2 linked regions of the Elephas maximus indicus genome follow. The main gene of each other region encodes a partner of the protein of the gene in region 2 in a complex. Links are inferred from orthologs where the notes say so. Each region holds a gene or a part of one and is shown on either strand. Other genes may lie near its edges.

The links. Proteins that work in one complex are often made in the same cells at the same time.
Region 1: the proteins of CEP152 (region 2) and CEP63 are in contact, whole or in part, in a crystal structure (PDB 6CSU), measured with the Homo sapiens proteins. The link is inferred for Elephas maximus indicus from reciprocal best matches to the Homo sapiens genes CEP152 and CEP63. Residues at the interface, in NP_001181927.1 of Homo sapiens: Gly1261, Ala1262, Glu1265, Leu1266, Gln1269, Tyr1270, Lys1272, Ala1273, Lys1276, Ile1277, Asp1280, Met1281, Tyr1284, Glu1287, Ser1288, Arg1291, Ala1292, Met1295, Ala1298, Arg1302; in NP_001340037.1 of Homo sapiens: Phe666, Glu669, Glu670, Arg673, Ile677, Arg680, Leu681, His684, Glu687, Leu688, Glu691, Ser692, Thr695, Phe699.

The regions. Positions count from the first base shown.
Region 1 is NC_064844.1:45,037,268-45,041,019, reverse strand, and holds the start of CEP63 (centrosomal protein of 63 kDa), read left to right. Parts: upstream 1-1,092; 5' UTR 1,093-2,690; coding exon 2,691-2,821; intron 2,822-3,752. UniProt on the Homo sapiens protein: Required for normal spindle assembly.
Region 2 is NC_064828.1:6,614,101-6,617,852, forward strand, and holds the start of CEP152 (centrosomal protein of 152 kDa), read left to right. Parts: upstream 1-708; 5' UTR 709-789; intron 790-3,752. UniProt on the Homo sapiens protein: Necessary for centrosome duplication; the function also seems to involve CEP63, CDK5RAP2 and WDR62 through a stepwise assembled complex at the centrosome that recruits CDK2 required for centriole duplication.

The DNA.
Region 1 (3,752 bases), on a different chromosome or scaffold from region 2:
AAAAAGCGAATTCGTTTAAAAAATGCTAATATTTAGTACAGGAAGTACGAGGATGTGGCAAAATTCGGGAAGGACTGAAGTTGGGGAACCCTGAACTGATTGCTCCATGCGTGCAAGTCAGGACTGGGAACCACGTAAGAGTGGGTTAAAAACGGCGATTCCTTAGAAACACTTTAATCCTGAAAATAGAGACAGTAAATCTAGCTCGTGATGGGGTTTTTCTTGTGTCCCTGTAACATCAGGAGAGAAATATAAGGCTGTCAGAGACTAGTCTTTTTTTGTAATTAACAGTGCAGTACACTTCCATAAAGTAGTTTCCCCTGAGCACTTAGTTTTTGCGTCTGATTCCCTAAACCGATTTTTAAAGAAAGCTACTTTATTTCTTTAATAAAGCGATATTGTAGATTCCCATATTTGTACAGGTCCTTATAAATGCTCATGTTAGCATTTAGTTTTTATTTCATAGAGATGAAGAAAAAAACAATCCATTTTGGTGGAGTCAATCCCAACTCAGCGACCATATAGGATAGTAAAACTGCCTCACAGTTTCCAAGGAGCTTCAAACTTAAAACCTTTTGGTTAGCAGCTGAGCTCTTAACCACTGTGCCACCAAGGCTGTAGATGAAGAGGAAATCATGATAATGATCATCAACTACACTTTACCTTCAAATATTTACGTTTATACTTAAACCAAAACAAAACAAAAAAATGATCCAGTTCATCCCGACCCATGGCGACCTCATGTGTGTCAGAGTAGAACTGTTCTCTGCAGGATTTTCAATGGTTTATTTTTCAGAAGCAGGTTGCCAGGCCTTTTTTCTGAGGTGCGTCTGGATGGACTTGAGCCTCCAAACTTTCGGTTAGCAACCCAGCACATTAACCTTTGCACCACCCAGAGATTCCATACACTTAATAGCTAGAGCTTAATGATACAATAAAAAGTATATCTTTTCTTATGTGGAATACAATACTGTCTTTAATTTTTATCCTGAATTCAGAAGGTTTGAAAAAATTATTCATTCTTATAAATTTCCATTTGTTTCTCAAACTTGCTTGCTGCTTGCCTTTTGACTATGTCATTATCAGAGATAGGTATAATTTTAAAAAAGGCTTTAAACTAAAATGGATTAGAGATTTATAAACATTTGGATTGACACTGCCATTTAAAATGATGTAAATTCAGATGTAAAAAATTTGTGATAAGTATATATATTAATTGTACTGATGCCATTTTCCTCCACTTAAGAGGTAGAAGCCCTTAGCCTTATGGTGAGTAGTCCACTCTCTCATTAGATCATTCCTTTTTTTTCCAATGTTGACTTGTTCTGCCAAAGCCAATTATGACATAAGGTTTCAGGAATTGAATTTCTGATTTTTATGTTACTTACGGGTTTTTCCCTCCAAGAACAGAGGTTTCTTTTTTCGGTTTTACAAAACCATGATACTGTCATCACACCTACAAAATTAATAATTCTATAATGTCAATATCCAGGCAGGGTTCAGATTTCACCAACCATCCCATAAATGTCTTTACAGTTCGCTTGTTTGGATGAAAGTCTTGTAAAGATCTACCCACATGTTACATTTGGTTGATATACTTTTTAAGTCTGTTACAATCTTAGTAATTTGCTTTTCTCTTTCCCCTTTTTTCATTGCCATCTAGATTTAGCTGGTTGTAGCTATGTGGTATCCTTTAACTTGTACCTCTGTTATTTCTGCTAAACCATTAGATATAGAACTGCACTGTCCAATATGGTAACCACCAGCCAACTGTGGCTATTTAGATTAATTAAAATTAAAAATTTATTTCATTAGCTGCATTAGCCACATTTTAAGCCCAGTCGCCCATAATTTCCGTAATTGCATAAAGCTCTGTTGAAGAGCACTTACCTATAAGCTTGATCATATTCACCCTTGATTTTTTTCTTTTTTTGATGAGTGGGGGCAAGAATATTTTATAGGTGCTGCAGTGTACTTGCTATTGTATCATTGTCGGGGGGCAGGTAGTGTCTGAGTGGTCTCTTTTTGTGAACAGTGGGTTCAGGTGTTGTTAGCCCAATCCATTCATCATAAAAGCTCCTATGAGCGGTTCACCTGTTGGTAAAATACTTTTGTGGGTTAGATTTACTGTATCCATTATTGCGGTATTTTCTGTCAAGTTGATTCTGACTCATAGTAATCCTATAGGACAGAGTAGAACTGCCCCATAGGGCTTCCAAGGCTGTAATCTTTACAGAAGCAGACTGCCACATCTTTCTTCCATGGAGTAGTTGGTGGGTTCAAACTGCAGGCCCTTCAGTAAGTAGCCGAGCATTTAACCAACGCACCGCTAGGGCTCCTAATCATTGCATTGTTGTTGTTAGGTGCCATCCAGTCCTTCTAACTCATAGCGACCCTATGTACAACAGAACAAAACACTGTCTGATCCTATTATTATTGCATTAAAAAAAAAACCAAACCTGTTGCCATCGAGTCGATTTCGACTGATGGTGACCCTACAGGACAGGGTACAACTGCCCCATCAGAGTTTCCAGGGAATGCCTGGCGGATTCAAACTGCCGACCTTTTGGTTAGCAGCCATAGCACTTAACCGCTACGCCACCAAATTATTGCATTAGGGTTTGCAAAATGGTGATTTTGCAATTTTTTCATTATTTCTGTATTTATTAGGTGGAAATCTTTTATGAAGGATGACTTTCCCTCATCAGCTATTTGATTATCCTGACATACAGTTTGTACAGGAAAGGCGAGAAAAATGCTTACCTCTTTCCCTCTATTTTCAGACTACAGTAATGAGTCGGTGCCCTAGCAACTTCCAAAGGTAACCATGCAGGTTTTTGCTTTTTTTAATTTTTTATCATCATATACTCATAGATTTGAATATATTTTAACTGTTTTGACCTATTGGAATCATTGTTCTTTTCTTTGATAGTCAAATTGTACTATCTTTAACTAGCAGAAGTCCTTTTAAGTTGGCTCTTGTTCTTTTTGACATGACTCCAGTAGTCTCTGATAATTTTCTTGCTTCCTAGTAAAACATATTCCTGGTCATCTATACATTTCTGGCCTCCAAGGAGCCCTGGTTCCTTTTAGGTGGTCATTGGTTCTACGATTTACAGTAGCCAGAGCTAAAAGAGAAATGTACAGAGTTCACAATGACATTTCCAGTTTAATATTATAGATTTTTTTTTTAAATCATGTGTTTGATTTTATATTTGTATCTTTTTCTCTTGCTGAAAATCTTGGTACCTAATGTCATTAAATATTTCTTTTTTGCCTTATCCTATAATTATGTAATGGTTTCAAATTAACAATACCAATTATTGTTATTATTCATATTCATATAATTCATATAATTATATTATTATTCATATAATTCCCAAGTGGTGTTTAGGATTTCTTTGCAGTTCTTTTTTATCCTTAGTTTTTACTCCACTAGGGATATGTGCAATAAAATTATTTTATTAAAGGCATATGAAATAATTTAAATGGCAGGCTGCCAACTTGATATTTAGTTGATTCACTTATTTCATTTTGTTTCCAGCCTTTCAGTATTGCTTTTTAAAAATTTTGATTGGTTTTGTTATATGTAAAGCATTAATGTAGCTCCTATAAAACAAACCAAAAAAAAAAAAAAAAAACTCTTGCCACCTCGTGGGTTCCAGCTAATGGCAGCCCCCTGTGTTACAGAATAGAACTGTTCCATAGGGTTTTTGTTGCCTGTAATCTGCATGAAAGCAGATTGCAGGGCT
Region 2 (3,752 bases):
AAAACGGACCACCTCTTCAGTAATTACAGAAACACAAATTAAAACAAGGCAAGACCTAGTAAGCCAGAAGACAAAGAGAAGCAGTATCTGAGGCTGTTCAGGTGGAGGCCAGTCTCTACGCAGTGCCGTCGAGTCGATTCCGACTCATAGCGACCCTATAGGCACCTTAAAGAAACGGAAGGGCAAATGCAAAGCCCCCAAGGCGAGAGCTCGGTGGAGAGACTGAGGGCTTCCGACCAGCGGCCGAGAACTGGGGTTTAGGAGTGAGAAGCGCGGGGGCAGGAGTCACCGCTCCAGCCTCCGGCCGCATCAGCCAGCGGCAGCCAAGGGCTGGCGTTCCAGCCAGGTGGGTCGGCGAGGGCCGAAAGCAGGACGCCAGGTGCCTGCGCGACTCTAGGCAACCGATAAGCCCGCCCACCCGAGAGGGAGCCTTCTCGTAATTGGCTCACGAATCCACCAATAGACGTACAGAGGCACTTCCCGCCGCCTCTGGCGCCCGCTTTCAAACAGCCGTACGTTTGCGACAGCTGGCGGACTTCTCAACCAAGCTTGAGGAGGGCGGGGACTTCCGCCTCTTCGCCCCGCCCCCAGTCGGCATGGGCCCGCGCACAGGGCGAACTTCTAGCCGGGATTGAAGGAGACGGCTGCTCCTCAAGGCCTCAGCGCCCCAGGGTTCGGTTGTCACCAGGAAGGCGCTCGCGGATGAGAGCCGGGGGAGAGGGGTTCGCCAGAAGCTGGTCTTCCGACAGGGCCGGAGTTTCCCCGCGGCGACGGCATCTGTGGCCTCTGGTGAGTTTCGCTTCGCGGCTAGCCTTGGGGCTGGGCTCAGAGGCGATCTGGTCGTCAGGGTCTGGGTGGAGGCTTGCCGGAGCTGAGCCCCCGGCCTCACCGCAGCGCCGGCTGTCGGCGGACGCGGGCTCAGCTCCTTGGAGCGTCACCCGCACCCCTTCTTCCCCGGGGCCCGCCGCTGGCCTCCCGCAGGCTGCAGGGCCCCCGGGACCCCGCCCGGTCGCCCCGCCGCGCCTGGCTCACAGAGGCGCTCTGTTCAGGCGCGCTGAGCGGGGCGTGTGACGCGGGCCCCGGGGCTGCGGCCTGGCGCGGCGGCCCCGTGCAGCGTCCGCCTGGCGCTCCTGTTGGCCGTGCCGTGGGCGGCGCCGCGCTGCGTCCCCGGTAAGGCTGCGCGCTCCTGCGGGGCCATTCATGGCTGCCTCCCTCGGGCTGCGGTGGCTGCCGCGTGCCAGGGCTGCTCGGCGGCCCCGCGGGCACCCGGAGTCCGTGCGTTCAGGCCGCTCTGTTAGCGCCCATCACCGAACACGGTCGTAGGTCGCCGCTGCTTTCTTCCCCTCGTTCGGAACAGGGACTGCCACCGACGTTTGGTAAACGATTGGTGAATGAGTGGGTAGGTCTGGTATTGCGAGGCTAAAACAGGCTGGTGCTCTCCAGGTATTTCCATTCTAGGAGAGAAGCTAGCAAGTGAATGGAATTTCCCGACTCCAGGGGCACGTCCTACAACCGCTCTTCGTGGCCCCTCACCCTTTCTATTTTATGGGCTTGAGTTTCAGGCTGAGTCAAGCCAAGTTTCCTCACCTCCCCACAAGAGTGGCAGTTTGTATACGCTCACTAGATAGGCGAATGCGCTCCACGAAGTAAGAGAAGCTGAAGTTGATACCGTAAGACAAGTAGAAATACAGTCTAAAAGTGCAAAAACAAAACAAAACCCGTTGTTGAATCAATTCCAACTCGTAGCGACCCTATAGGCAGGGTAGAACTGCCCCGTAGGGTTTCCAAGGCGCGCTAGCCACCGGGTTTTCTGAAAGTGCACAACTTTGGAGTGACTGATACCACGGGGGAGAAGGGCTGGGGGTGGCCTTTTCATCAGAGAGCAGGTCCTATTGTTTGAAGTAAGGTTTACCACAGGCTGCTCATTCATCTTTTTCCTAGATGTACTGAGGTTCTTGTTTGTTCCCATAACCTCTCCTACCCATCAGTAGCGATGTCTTAATAACAACAAAATCAATATGTATTGATTGGTACATGGTGTTAAGCACTTAATATACATTATCTTCAGCGTCATCATTACCATTCTTGAAGTGGGCACTATTTTTGCCTTCATTTCATTAGTTATGAAAGGGAAACAGTTTGCTCAAGTTTGCACAGCTGGTAAATGGAGGAGCCAGAATGAATGCCATCATTCTTAACCGTTTACACCCATTTTGTGTCCTTTAAGATCTACTTCTAATCTGAAGTTTCTTCTTTTGGGAAACATCTCTCAGCTTCCGTTCTTCAGAGGTAAAGATAGTTTGTGCTTTGTTCTTTGCTCTACTACAGAATTTATTACAATGTATCATTGTAACTCTTAGCGTCTATGCTTGTTTCCCTAAGACCTTGAGCTGTTCAGGGCTGGCGCCATGTCTTAGATGCGCCTGGGATATAACCCAACACTCCTTAGGTGTTCAAAAAAATTTTTTATAGAAATAATGAATCGCTACAGGTTAGCATTCATGTATCATATTTATTCAGCGGTTATCTGTGTGTGCCTAGGAGTCAGAATTGACAATATACACGGTGTGGGGTGGGGAGGGAGACAGATACATTTTAATTCTGCCTTCAGGATGCTTATAACAAGCTATTAAATGAGGCAAAAACAACGAAATTTTTGTTTCTAATGTTTTATCGACTAAACAAAGCCCTGGTGGCGCAGTAGTTAAGCATTTGGCTGCTAACCCAAAGGCTGGCAGTTGGAATCCACCAGCGACTCCTTGGAAATTCTATGGGGCAGCTCTCTGTCCTATAGGGTCACTATGAGTTGTGATCGACTTAATAAACACCTATTGGTGCTTCTTCTTATTGCAAGGAGGGCAAAGAAAATTTTTATAACTAGGGACAATGAAATAAATACTGGGCCAGAGTGTCACAAAAGGTTAGACATACTTTTTTAGAGTCTTGTTAATGAGTTCAGAAAAAGTTACCTACCTAGTAAGAAAGCCATAACAAGTCTACTATTAAAAATTTTTAAATAGCATCTTGATTTTTTTTTAATGGCCATCTCTTTGAATCAATAAATATTTAATTCATTGTTCTTACTAGTGGTATAAAGTATCTGCAAATTTATTTAAAATTAATATTACTAGTGCAAATGTTCATCTTCAATATATTATTGTTGATAGTTTTCAAGAAGGTTTTAGCAGGCCATACTTTCACCAGCAATTCATGAGAGTACCTAATTAACCACCACTTATTACCAGTTTATCTTTTTCAACCTAAAAAAAAGCCTGTTGCGGTTGAGTGGATTCCGAGTCATAGCGACCCTACAGGACAGAGTAAACTGCCCCAAAGAGTTTCCAAGGAGCGCCCAGTGGATTTAAACTGCGGACCTTTTGGTTAGCAGCACGTAGCACTTAACCACTTTGCCACCAGGGTTTCCTTTTTCAATCTAGTTGTTGAAAATGGTATTCCGTTGTTTAAATGAGCACTTGGTTGACTACTCCATGAGCTTAAGCATCTTTTCAAGTTAACTGAGCATTTACATTTCATTTTTTAATGAATTATCATGTTAGTTGCCCACTTTTAAGAAGGAGCCCTAGTGGTGCATCAGTTAAGTGCTCCGCTTTGTACCAAAATGTTCGCGATTGAAACCAACCAGCTGCTCCTCAGAGAAAGATGTGGTAGTCTGCATTTGGGTTGTTTATCTCCTTTCTTTGTGAGATTTCTTTGTGTATTAGGACTTTGTCATGTGTTCTGTAAATCTTTTT